Linked DNA regions of Pelodiscus sinensis. The protein of the gene in region 3 interacts with the protein of the main gene of each other region in a biochemical or structural test. Links are inferred from orthologs where the notes say so. Each region holds a gene or a part of one and is shown on either strand. Other genes may lie near its edges. The genes, in order: UBE3A, TRIM25 and UBE2D3.

The links.
Region 1: the proteins of UBE2D3 (region 3) and UBE3A form a complex in vitro, tested with the Homo sapiens proteins (5 studies listed by BioGRID, with this or other methods). The link is inferred for Pelodiscus sinensis from reciprocal best matches to the Homo sapiens genes UBE2D3 and UBE3A.
Region 2: the proteins of UBE2D3 (region 3) and TRIM25 form a complex in vitro, tested with the Homo sapiens proteins (3 studies listed by BioGRID). The link is inferred for Pelodiscus sinensis from reciprocal best matches to the Homo sapiens genes UBE2D3 and TRIM25.

The regions. Positions count from the first base shown.
Region 1 is NC_134711.1:227,996,076-227,999,822, forward strand, and holds the start of UBE3A (ubiquitin-protein ligase E3A), read left to right. Parts: upstream 1-1,045; 5' UTR 1,046-1,417; intron 1,418-3,747. UniProt on the Homo sapiens protein: E3 ubiquitin-protein ligase which accepts ubiquitin from an E2 ubiquitin-conjugating enzyme in the form of a thioester and transfers it to its substrates.
Region 2 is NC_134730.1:18,911,908-18,915,654, forward strand, and holds the start of TRIM25 (E3 ubiquitin/ISG15 ligase TRIM25), read right to left. Parts: upstream 2,991-3,747; 5' UTR 2,887-2,990; coding exon 2,284-2,886; intron 1-2,283.
Region 3 is NC_134715.1:25,177,739-25,181,485, reverse strand, and holds the start of UBE2D3 (ubiquitin-conjugating enzyme E2 D3), read left to right. Parts: upstream 1-1,447; 5' UTR 1,448-1,951; coding exon 1,952-1,975; intron 1,976-3,747. UniProt on the Homo sapiens protein: Accepts ubiquitin from the E1 complex and catalyzes its covalent attachment to other proteins. In vitro catalyzes 'Lys-11'-, as well as 'Lys-48'-linked polyubiquitination.

The DNA.
Region 1 (3,747 bases), on a different chromosome or scaffold from region 3:
CCACAGGCCTGTGACATGCTCGGCAACCCAACCTTCCACCTGAGCCCAGCACTCCCTAGCCTGGAGCCCCCTCCCTGAGCCAGCATCCCCTTCTCCTGCATCCAAATTCCCTCCCAGAGCTTGCACTTCTCACCCCTTCCCACACCCAAATCCCTCATTCCCACCCCAGAGCCCGCACCTCCTATCTCAACCCAGGGAGAGTGGATAAGGGCTGGGGATGGCAAGTGATGGAGAGGAGGGGAACAGAGCAATGAGGCCTCAAGAAAGGGGGGGGCGGGTCGTGAGGAAGGAATGTGATTTTCATGCATTGGTGGGGATTTTCCCTCCCCTCCCCCTTTTTTTTTTTGCTTAACAAACCTAGGGGCTCCTTGAAATTCTGGAAAGCTGAAAAGGGTTCCTCGGCCAAATAAAATAGCGAAACACTGGCCTGGCCTGGCGTGTCCCCAATCCCCCCTCCCCTCTCTCCCGCAACGAGGCCCATCCAGCACTTGTATGCGGGGGAGGGAAGGGCCCCGCTCTAGGCGCTGCTGCGCTCACTTCCCACGGCTGCAGCTACCACTTGGCGCTGCTGCTGCGCCGGGGCCCTGACATTTGCCGGCGGCCAGTGGCGGGATTGGACATGGCGGGGGGGAGGGGCCGAGTCTCCTGAGCTGCCCGATCTGGCAGCCCCCGGAGAGCCGCGCGGCGAGGCCGTTCCACGGGCGGGAGGGTGGAGGCGACACAAGGCGCGCGGGGCTAACGGTCGAGCTCGCGCCGCTGCAGCCTGTTCCGGCGCGCGCGCACGTCACACCCCTCTGCGCGGGGCGGGGTTTGGCACCTCCCCCCTTCCTTACCCCTCAGGGCCCCTCCCCCACTCCCGGCCCCGCTAACTAGGGGGGTGGAGGCGACTGTAAGCGCGTCTCCCCTGGCGGCAGGAAACTGCCCGACCCCAAGATGGCCACCGCGACACCCGGCAGGGCCAACTTCCGTGTCCTTCCCTCCTCCCCACCCCCTGTCCAATGGGAAAGGTGGGGGACTCTATGGTTCCGGGCGGAAGGTAGAGCGTCCTGATCAGGAGCGCGGCGCACGCCGGGATACCCTGCTATGCCCGCGAGTCCTCCGAGGCTGCGCCGCGCCGATATTCGCGTTTCGCCCAAGATGGTGGCGCTGGGCTCGGGGTGAGAGAGGCTCAGAGCGGGCCCTGCCCACCTCCCCGGCCGACCGCCGCCACTGCCAGACCCCCAGCCCGCCCCGCCGGCCTCGCCCGCCCTCCGGAGCCGCCGAGGCCGCAGCTCCCGTCCCCGCGGCGCAGCCCGGCCCGGCCCAGGCAGCAGCGGCGCCGCCTCCCCCGCCCCGAGAGCAGCGCGGGCCCCGCATGAGCCTGGGGGCAGCAGCTGCAGCGTCAGGCCCGCGCCGGGGAGCAGGCCGCAGCGCACAGGTGCGTAGCGGGGCGGGGGGAGGCGCGGCCCGGAGACGGGCGCCGCGGGGCCCAGGCCCGCGTGTCCCTGCTGGGGCAGTTTCGCTTTCGTCGCTGGGCTTTGCAGGGAGGCCTCCGCAGTCGGGGTGGGGCGGGGATGGGGCGGTCGGCGGGAGATGGGGCTCAGTGGTGGCCCCGAGGCCGGCGGGTGCGGGGGTAGAGTGCGGGGTGTCCGGGGGTACATGATGTAGGAGATCTCCCAAACATGGGGCTGCTGCTTTGTGACTGGGGACGGGGGGTGAAGTGGAAGCACGACCCAGTGCTTTGGGCAGTAGCTGGGGCGACTTCAGGGCCCTGCTCTGTCACCCACTTCCTGTGTGACCTTGGGCACGTCACTTAGCCTTGCTGGGTAAGTCTGTGCGGCCTTTTGGAACTGACCAGGAGCAAGCGTCCCAGCCCGGGAGCAACAGGCTTTGGATAGCAGGGCTTGTTCTGGTGCTTTAAAAACTGCTGCATAGACAGTGCTTAGAAGTTGTGGTGTGGGCTGAAGCTGGGTTTTTGACACCCTGGCCTCCACCCTGACCCCGGGCTTCACAGCATTGTCCACTCACCTACTTTCAGTCTGTGAACCCAGGCCATGAGGCTTTCTTCTGTGGGTTCCAAATTATAAAGAACTGAGACACAATCTTTAAAGTACAACTGCTAGAGCTATAGACAAACTTTATTAAATTGATCAGTTGTGTGTATGTAAACTATAAACACAAACCTTAAATGCTGATCTTGTTAAGGTTGTTACAGCTAAGGAAAGCTTTCCTATACTTTCTTAGTAATTTTGTCTTGAGGTTGTAAGCATCTTTGGGCTGGAAATGTGTTCTGGGCATCACTATGTGATCTGACACCTGTGTGTATGGACTTCAGTGGGCCTCTGTGTACACACACACAGGCCTGCTAGAATCAATTTGCTGGATCTTAGTCTTATTGGTACAGGACATCAAACCTAAGGTATCTGTGGCGGGGGGAGTGGTGGAGGAACAGTTTTAGGGCAGAAATCTTGATGGGTTTTTTTATTGTATTTTATTGAGACGTGCCAAGCAGTTTTTGTGTGCTACCAGATAGAACAAGTAATATAATACATCATGTGAACTGAAAACACAAAAAAGCTGGGAAACAGAATCTGTATCTATTAAACCTATCATTTTATGATACTATGAAAATGTTTATTAGTGTGTGTGAACTGTAATCACATTTATCTTGTAACTTAAATCTCTCAAATGTTTGTATATGAAATTAATTTGAATGACTTTCCAAAATAACTTCCATCATATTGACTTATCTGAATATGCAGATTTTAATTATTTCTAATTCTTGTCACTTTTATTTGCACATTTCTGTCAGAATAACTCTAGTTTTGTGCCAACTGTTCTAATATTAAACCACTCTTAAAACAATTGATAATGATATCATAAGGTAATCTAGTGCACTACTCATCACAGTGGAGTTTAAAAGAAGATATTTGTTCTGTCTACATTTCTGTTTTCCATCACTACAGTATTAATACCTCCCAAAAAATTTTAAATTAAAATGCATAAGAATGGTAATACTGGCTTACACCAGTTATCCATCTAGCCCAGTATCCTATCTTTTAACAGTGACCAGTGTTCAGGTGCTTCAGAGGGCATGAACAGAATACAGGTGTCCCCCAACTTGTGACACAGTCAATTCCCGGGGAAGTGTCACAAGTCGGGGGCATCATAACTCAAACCCTCATTTGCGATAGGTGCTGTGTGCCATCGTAAACGAGGGGCTGAGGACAGACCTCTGGGATTTTCAGCCCCCTCCACTCTTACAACCATTTTTATAAGTACAGGGGTTATAACTTGGGCGGTCGCAACTTGGGGGTTTCCTGTAGATAATCAAGTGATCCCTTTGATGTCTTCTGTTCCCAGCTTCTGGCAAACAGGCTAGAGCCATTTAAGGGCATGATATGCATACCTGCTCAGCCATTGAAGGACCTCTCCATGAAATTATCTTGTTCTTTTTTGAATTTTGTTTTATTCCTGGCTTTCAAAATCGTTTGGCAGAGAATTCCACAGATTAACTGTGTTGTGTGAAGAAATCCTTCCTTTTGTTTGTTTTGAACCTGTGCCTCTTAATTTTATTTGGTGACCCCTAACTCTTGTGTTATGAGGAGTAAATAATACTTTCTTATTTATGTTCTCCACGGCAATTTTATAGACCTCTATTGTATCCCGCCTTAGCTATCTCTTTTTCAAGTTGAAAAGTACCAGTCTTATTTTTTTTTCTTTATGTAGAAGCCCTTCAATTACCCTAATAATCTTCGTTGCCATTTA
Region 2 (3,747 bases), on a different chromosome or scaffold from region 3:
ACGTGAACACCGCATCTCGAAGAACAGTCAGGAAAGGTGAGTCGCTGTGTTCCCCCCCCCCCCACAACCACTTCTCTTACTTAGTCACTCCTTGGCCTTTTCCCCAGACAATCCAACACAAGTCCTAACTCATGCTGGGTCCGGGAGTGCTGTTATAAGAAGGGCAACCTATGAATGAGATTGAGGCCACCCCAATCATTACTAGGGATGTGAATGGTTAACTGGTAAGCCTCACCCTTAATGAATCAGTGTTGGTTAATTGGTAGGGGCTGGAGCAGTTTGGGCAGGGAGCTGCTCCAACCACACGGGGCCCACCATAAAGAGGCACTGCTTGCTTCCTCCCGCTCCTCAAAAGCCCTTAATACAGCTCGCAAAGATCCAGCAGCTAAAATACGTTAACATAGCTCCCTACAAGCTTGGGATTAGACTGTCCCTCTTAGGCATCCTTAGCACTGAAGAATAACGGAGGCCTCCTATGCCAAGTTCGAAAGCAGTGCCACTTCCCCCATAACAGCTAAAGCCTGAATAATCCAAGCCTCATTTGCTACTAGGTTGATTCACACATATACAAAGCTCCCACTGTGCCCATGTGCTCCAGAGCCTGGCTTGTATCCTGATGGTCACAAGCTGTTCTCTTAGAAAAGGAACAGGAAGAGAGAGAGATTTTACAGGCATCTTACACATTACAAAGATAGCTTCCCCAATTATCACCTCTAATACTATTAACTCACAGACATTTCCCCTTCCCCACCTCTAATATCATTAACTCACTGGCATTCACCTTCCTTCCCCCCCCCCCCCCCCACATCCCCCTTCTGTTCTGCAATGTGATTTGTCCTTTTCATGTGTGTTCATTTTTTTTTAAATTGTATCCTTTGGTATATATGGTTGTGACTGTTTTCTTCCATTATTTGATCTGAGGAAGTGGGTCTGGCCCACGAAAGCTCATCATCTAATAAACCATCTTGTTAGTCTTTAAAGTGCTACATTGTCCTGCATTTTACAGGCAGTGCAACTTAAAAGCCAGACCTCTGAAGTTTTGTTAGACACTAAGGCTACGTCTAAACTACACCCCTCTGTCGGCAGAAGGATATAAATTAGACACATCGAAAGTGCAAATGAAGCGGGGATTTAAAAATCCCATGCTTCATGTGCATAATCGCATCCTGGCGCAGTTTTGAACAAGCGCCATTTCGAAACTGAAACCACGGTTTAGACATGGTGTTTTGGAAAAACTGCGTTTAAACCACGGTTTCCGTTTCGAAATGGCGCTTGTTCAAAACTGCGCCAGGACACGATTATGCAAATGAAGTGCGGGATATTTAAATCCCCACTTCATTTGTGCTTTCGAAACGTGTAATTTACATCCCTCTGCTGACAGAGGGGTGTAGTTTAGACACACCTTAAGTCTGTGTATGGTCCTGATGGTACTTTTAGGGCCTGCAATCCCTATCACCACAATCTGCTGTTCCTAAGGCCTGTCCAGGATCTTGAGAAGGATGAATGGTGCATCTTCTAAGACAGGGATTCTCAACCTTCTTTTTGACCCCTCCCCAACAAGCTATACAAATTCCACAGCCCACCTGCACCACCACAACTATTTTTCAATACATAAAAGCCAGGGCTGGCAATAGAGGATAACAAGCAGGACAAGTACAACACAGGGGGCACCCCGAAAGCTGAATAGCTCAGACTTCAACTTCAGCACCCAGTTGGTAGATCTTGGGGTCCCAGGCTTCTGCTCCACACAATGGGGCTTTAAACTTGCTGGGGTGCAGAGCAGAAAGTCTGATGCCTGCCCTGATTGGTGGCCCCCTGGAATCCTGCTCAGAGCATGCTCCCCCCCACCCTAGACCCCTGGCTGAAAAATGCTGATCTAAGACAGTGCTCTCAAGTGCCAGACCATGGACTGGGGCCAGTCCCTGAGCTCTCTGATTATCAAATAGGTTGAGAAAGAGGGCAGATGTTCCGTAGGTGGGAGCAGTCAGAGAACAGCAGCGCAAACACAGCCCAGGGGCAGAGTTCCCTGTAAGCTGGGTCACTCAGGAGAGATCCCAACACCTCCCAGCTGATCAGCAGAGCGCTCACTAGCGAGACTGCGTGTTTCTACTGGTGGTGCATGCACATGCCTGGGTGCGCATCAAAATTATTCCGCACGGGGATGGGAGAGATTAGAGGGAACATTGCTAGGAGTCCCATGCAAGAGGTTCCAGAGAAGGGTCCCGGCCAGTGCTGATCAGCACCTCTGTCCAGGCATCCCCCTCCTCTCCCATCCCTCCTCACCTCCTTCTCCGCCTTGGCCTCCTGCACGGGGCTGGTGGCACAGGTCTTGTGGCTGACCAGGCACACGCAGCAGATGCAGGTGGCGTGCTCGGGGCAGTAGAACTCCAGCAGCTTGTTGTGCTGCTGGCACTTGCGCTGCTGCAGGTCGCGCAGGGGCAGGCGCAGCTCGTGGTCCCGGAAAGCCGGGCTCTCCTGGTGGGGCCGCAGGTGCTCGTGGCAGAAGGAGGCCATGCAGGTGAGGCAGGTCTTGGCCGCCGCGGCCTCCAGGCAGGTGTCGCAGGGCACCTCGGAGCCGCTCCCCTCCCGGCATTTCTTCTCCTCGGCCGGCTCGCCGGGCTGCGAGCTCTGGAACTGCTCCACCACCCGGCACAGCACCGTGTTCTTCTGCAGCTCGGGCCGGCGCTGGAAGCTGGCCCGGCACTGCGGGCAGCTGAAGCCCTGCTGGATGCCGCTCCAGGTGACATCTAGGCAGGGCCCGCAGAAGTTGTGGCCGCAGGGCGTGGTGACCGGGCAGTCGAAGAGGCACAGGCAGATGGAGCAGGTCAGCTCCTCTTCCAGCCCGGCCAGGCAGGGCAAGGACGGCGCCCGCAGTAGCTCCGCCATGGCTCCTGCCACGACCTGGGCAGCTGGGGATGGAAAGTGAAACTCAAAGCAGAGGCGGAGCAGCTGGAAGTTCCTGGAAATCACGTGGAAGGGGGAAAGTTCAGCGCGGGGGGGCCTCCCTAGCAAACCCCTCCCTGCTAGGCGCTCAGGCTGCAAACTTTCTCCCATTTCTGCTTATTTACGCTCCCCCTTCCGCAGCCTGGATTTTCTGGTGCGCAGTTCTGCAATGTATTGACTTTCCTCTTTACATAGAATCACAGGGTTGGAAGAATAGTGATAGAGATGTAGCCGTGTTAGTCTGGGGTAGCGGAAGCAAAATGCAGGACAATGTAGCACTTTAAAGACTAACAAGATGGTTTATTAAATGATGAGCTTTTGTGGGCCAGACCCACTTCCTCAGATCAAATAGTGGAAGAAAATTGTCACAACCATATATACCAAAGGATACAATTAAAAAAAATGAACAAATATGAAAAGGACAAATCACATTGCAGAACAGGAGGGGAATACAGGGGGGGAGAAGGAAGGAAGGTAAAGTGTCTGTGAATTGATGATATTAGAGGTAGGGAGAGTGGGATGTTTGTGAGTTAATGGTATTAGAGGTGATAATTGGGGAAACTATCTTGGTAATGAGATAGTTCAAATGTTTGTTGGAAGAGACCTCAGATGGTCATGGAGTCCAATCAGCTGCTAAAAGCAGGACCAATCCCACCTAAACCATCCCAGAAGCTTCAGGGGGTAGCCCAGTTAGTACAGGATAAACTTAAAAAACAACAAATGGTCTGTAGGATTTTATAGACGAACAAAACATAAGATGGTATCATGAGCTTTCCTGGGCACAGCCCACTTCTTCAAATGACT
Region 3 (3,747 bases):
GACAGTCTGGTCAGTAGTTAAAAATCCATTTGGCATAGAACTGGCAAGCTCCCTACCCAACTCCCTGTGGTGCAGCTGGCCAGCATATCCTTCTGGCTGTTAGGCATAGGGACATCCATGGAGTTCCATGCACTGCCTCCAGCACCAGCTCTGCAACTCCATGAGCTGGGAACTCTGGCCAGTGGAAACAGCAGGGGCGGTGCATGTGGATAGAGGTGGTACATAGAGCTGCATGGCCAAAACACCATCTAGCCAGAGGGACATACTAGCTACTTCCCAGAAGCCACCTGAGGTAAGCACAACCTGGGGCTGTTACTCCAAACCATCTCCTACACTCTATGCCCCACGTTTAAGCTCCCTCCCACATGCACTGCCCTTGGCGTCACAACCCACTCTGCCTGCCCCAGCTTGGAAACTCTCCTGGCCCTCTGAATACTTTAGCCCCATCCCATCCTGCACCTCAAACTCCTCTTCCCCAGCCCCCCCCCCACCCGAGAGCCTACACTCCCACATTCCAGCCCGGCCTGCACCACCCTACAACCTGAATCCATTCCTCCCCCTCACCCGCCCACCCCACAGCCTGGGGCCTTCCAGCGCTCCGACCCGCTTCGCCTCAGACTCTCCACCTGGCTCTCACATCCCTCGTCCCCGGCCTGCGGCCTTGTCCCACCCCAGCCCGGTTACAGTGGGGGTGGGAGAGAGCGAGCGGGAAGAAGGCGGGGGACAGGACCAGGCTGCAGCGTGGGGCACGGGCCCTCCTCCTGCGAGCGGTGTCCCCGCAGCCCGGCCGGAGCGAAGCAGCAGTAACCGCAGGGCTGTGACGAGTGAAGCCAGCGGAGGACGAGCCCGACCTCGACGTGCTCCGCTGTGTCTACACGGACTTGGAAACACACCCGAGGGCCCGCGAGACAAACAGGAAGGGGAGGGGCATCCCTGCCACTCGCTCGCCCCCTCTGGCCTTACTGGGATCTGTTTCCCCTTCGCAGCGGCTGCGCGGAGGGATACCAGCGCCGTACTGCGCCTTAGCGATTCACGAACGTAGATCCGGTCGCGACGGCCATTTTGTGTACACGCACAGACGAACTCCCCTCCTCCCCCCCCAGAGGCGGGGACGGGCGAGTGACCACGACGAGCCGGGTACAACGAGAGACTCGAAGGCCCCGCAAGAGCTTTCGCTCTGGGGATTTCTCCATAACCGACAAACCGCCCACTCAAGCGTAGGGAGATGGGGGAAATTAGCCCGGTCTCGTACGCCGGAAGCCCCTGTGTCACAGCCTCCGCGAAGAGGGGGAGCACGCCCTTCTGATTGGAGAAGCGGCGTTCGGTCTCCGCCCCCAGATCTGGGACGCCTGCAGTCTTACTCTCGCGAGAGTCACCCCTCTGGCCTTCCCTCTTCTTCACACCCCACCCGCAACTATAGAAGGTGCGTGCACCGGCCTTGCACGAGCCTGGGGCTGTCTTACCCCCCCCCCCCCCACTAGTTTCAGTAGCGCGTGCGCGGATTCGCAGGCGGCAGCGGCGGTTAGCGCGTCCCTCCCCGCTCCAGTGAGAGGGAAGGGGGGGCTCTGGGCGAGGTTCCTTAGTGGCCCGCCCCGGGAGCGGGGGGCGGTGCCTGCTCGCCCCTCCTTTCTTTCTCGGCCTCGCCACCGGTGGTGGGAGTGCGCGGGGGCTGAGCTCGGTTTCTCCCGTGGTGGGGGAGGCTCAGCGCATCGTCTGTCCTCTCCGAGGCGGGCCGGCGGCGGTGGCAGCCAGGCGATCTCCGGAGAAGGGGCCGGACCCGCCCGTCGGGCGGAGGCTGTGGGCGGCTGCGCTCCCTGCGAGCGGGCGCCCCTGGCTGTTTCCGGAGGAAGGAGAGACGCAACTGCCCCCCCTCCCCGTCAACGCGAGCGGAGCCCGGAGTCACCGCGGCGCAGAGACAGGCCCGGCGGGCGGCGGCGGCAACACACACACAATGGCGCTCAAACGCATCAACAAGGTGAGCGAGGGGCGGGCCGGGGAGGCGGCGCTGGGGCTCGGGGTTCTGCGTCCCGCACCGCGGGGACAGGCCCTGTCGCCTGCGGTGTGCGCGGCGCCCCGGCTTCGGCTGGGGAGTGCGGGCGGTCTCCGGCCGGGGCGAGTGACTCCCTCCGCCCCGGTCTCTGGCGAGGAGCAGGGGGCCTAGCGGGCGGGGGGCGGCTGATCTCCTTCCGGGGCCCGGGCTGCCTGCGCGGGGCGAGTTGGGGAGGGGGAGCGATGTCGCCCCGGCGCGCTCTTTGTCGCAGACCCCGAGAAGGTCGCGGTGAACCCGCCGGCAGCCCATGGCCCCGCGGGGACGTGGTGGGGTGTCCGGAGGGCCGGGGCAGGGCCGCTAAATGTCAGTGTCATTGCGAGCCGCAGGGCTAATCGCCTCCATCTCTTGCGTTACCGCTCTTAGCGATGGCCCGACTGTGCTGTGGCTTTATTTACATCGCAGCGACAGCCCGGGCTGGGCTCGCTCCTGCCGAGGGGGCAATCCGCCTCCCGGCCAAATTGGTTTCTCTTCCCTGGCGTCTAACTTCTTTCCCGCATTGTAAGATGGCGGCGGGTTTGCCTAGTTCAGGCTCTTTCCGGGTCTCTTGCTTTCTGCAATAACATGACACACACACACGTCCACGTTCCCGTCGACTCTCTCTGAACACCAGCTGCTCCTATTCCTCTACGTTTACACTTCCCCTAGAAACCCTCGGCTTTCATGATGTCGTAGAGGGATGGCTTTTTACCTCATCCTTTTCTTTGGGCGCAGGACGTTGTTGTGTGATGTTTTGAGCATTTCGTTCTTGCACAATCCTGTAGGGTGGAGTAACTTTACAGCTAACTCAAAAAAAATGTTGAGGTGATGGAAGTTTAACCTTCCAGAGAGCAAGGTTAGTGGCAGAAGGTGGGTGTTAGGTAACTTATAAATCTCAATTTCAGTTGTGACGTTCCTGTGAACAATAATTTAGTGTTTAGTGCAGCATCCAAGCTTCCCAACAGTTGGGGTCCTAATGACAAGCATGATTACAGCTAAATAGCTTACTTAAGCTCTGAGTTGCTGTTGATGTGTACTTAAAAGCATTATGGCATTGTAAATATTTTGAGACTGGATAGATGATTTTCTCCTTGTCACTTTTCAGCTTGTCACCAACCAGAAACTCATAGTGCCTTGAAATGATACAATGAATATGTCAAATTGAATATAGTTGTTGGGGTTTGTCATATTTTTTCTTAGATATTACAGAAACTGGACATATTTTTACTAAAAGGAATATAACATTGTTGCTGTGTCTTAATTTACTGTTCACACTCAAGAATAACAAAACTCTTAAATTCAAAACTGTTAAGTTTTAAGTAGGAGAATGTGTAGATTTTAATTAAAATTATACTTTTACCAGAAACTATTTTGAAAGTGTTTTAAACCTGCCACCAAACTTGTTTTCACTGTAACTGTGGATGGTATCACTTACATTAAGAAGCAGTTGGGAGACTCCCTGATATGCTTTGTCACCAACTACTCATGCAGATGAGATGCATCCTTAACACAGACTTGTGTAGGTCTGAGGAATTTTTGAAGTATAAATCATTAAAATCTCAGATTTAGAGTCTCTTTTTAACTGGAGCCTTAGAACATATTTAAAAATAATTTGGTATCAAGAAGTCTATTTAGATTATAAAATAATAGGAGACAGTCCATACAATCTATAGTGCCTAGCAAAATGGGTCTTTATTCTTGATTGTTGTTCTTGATAATTG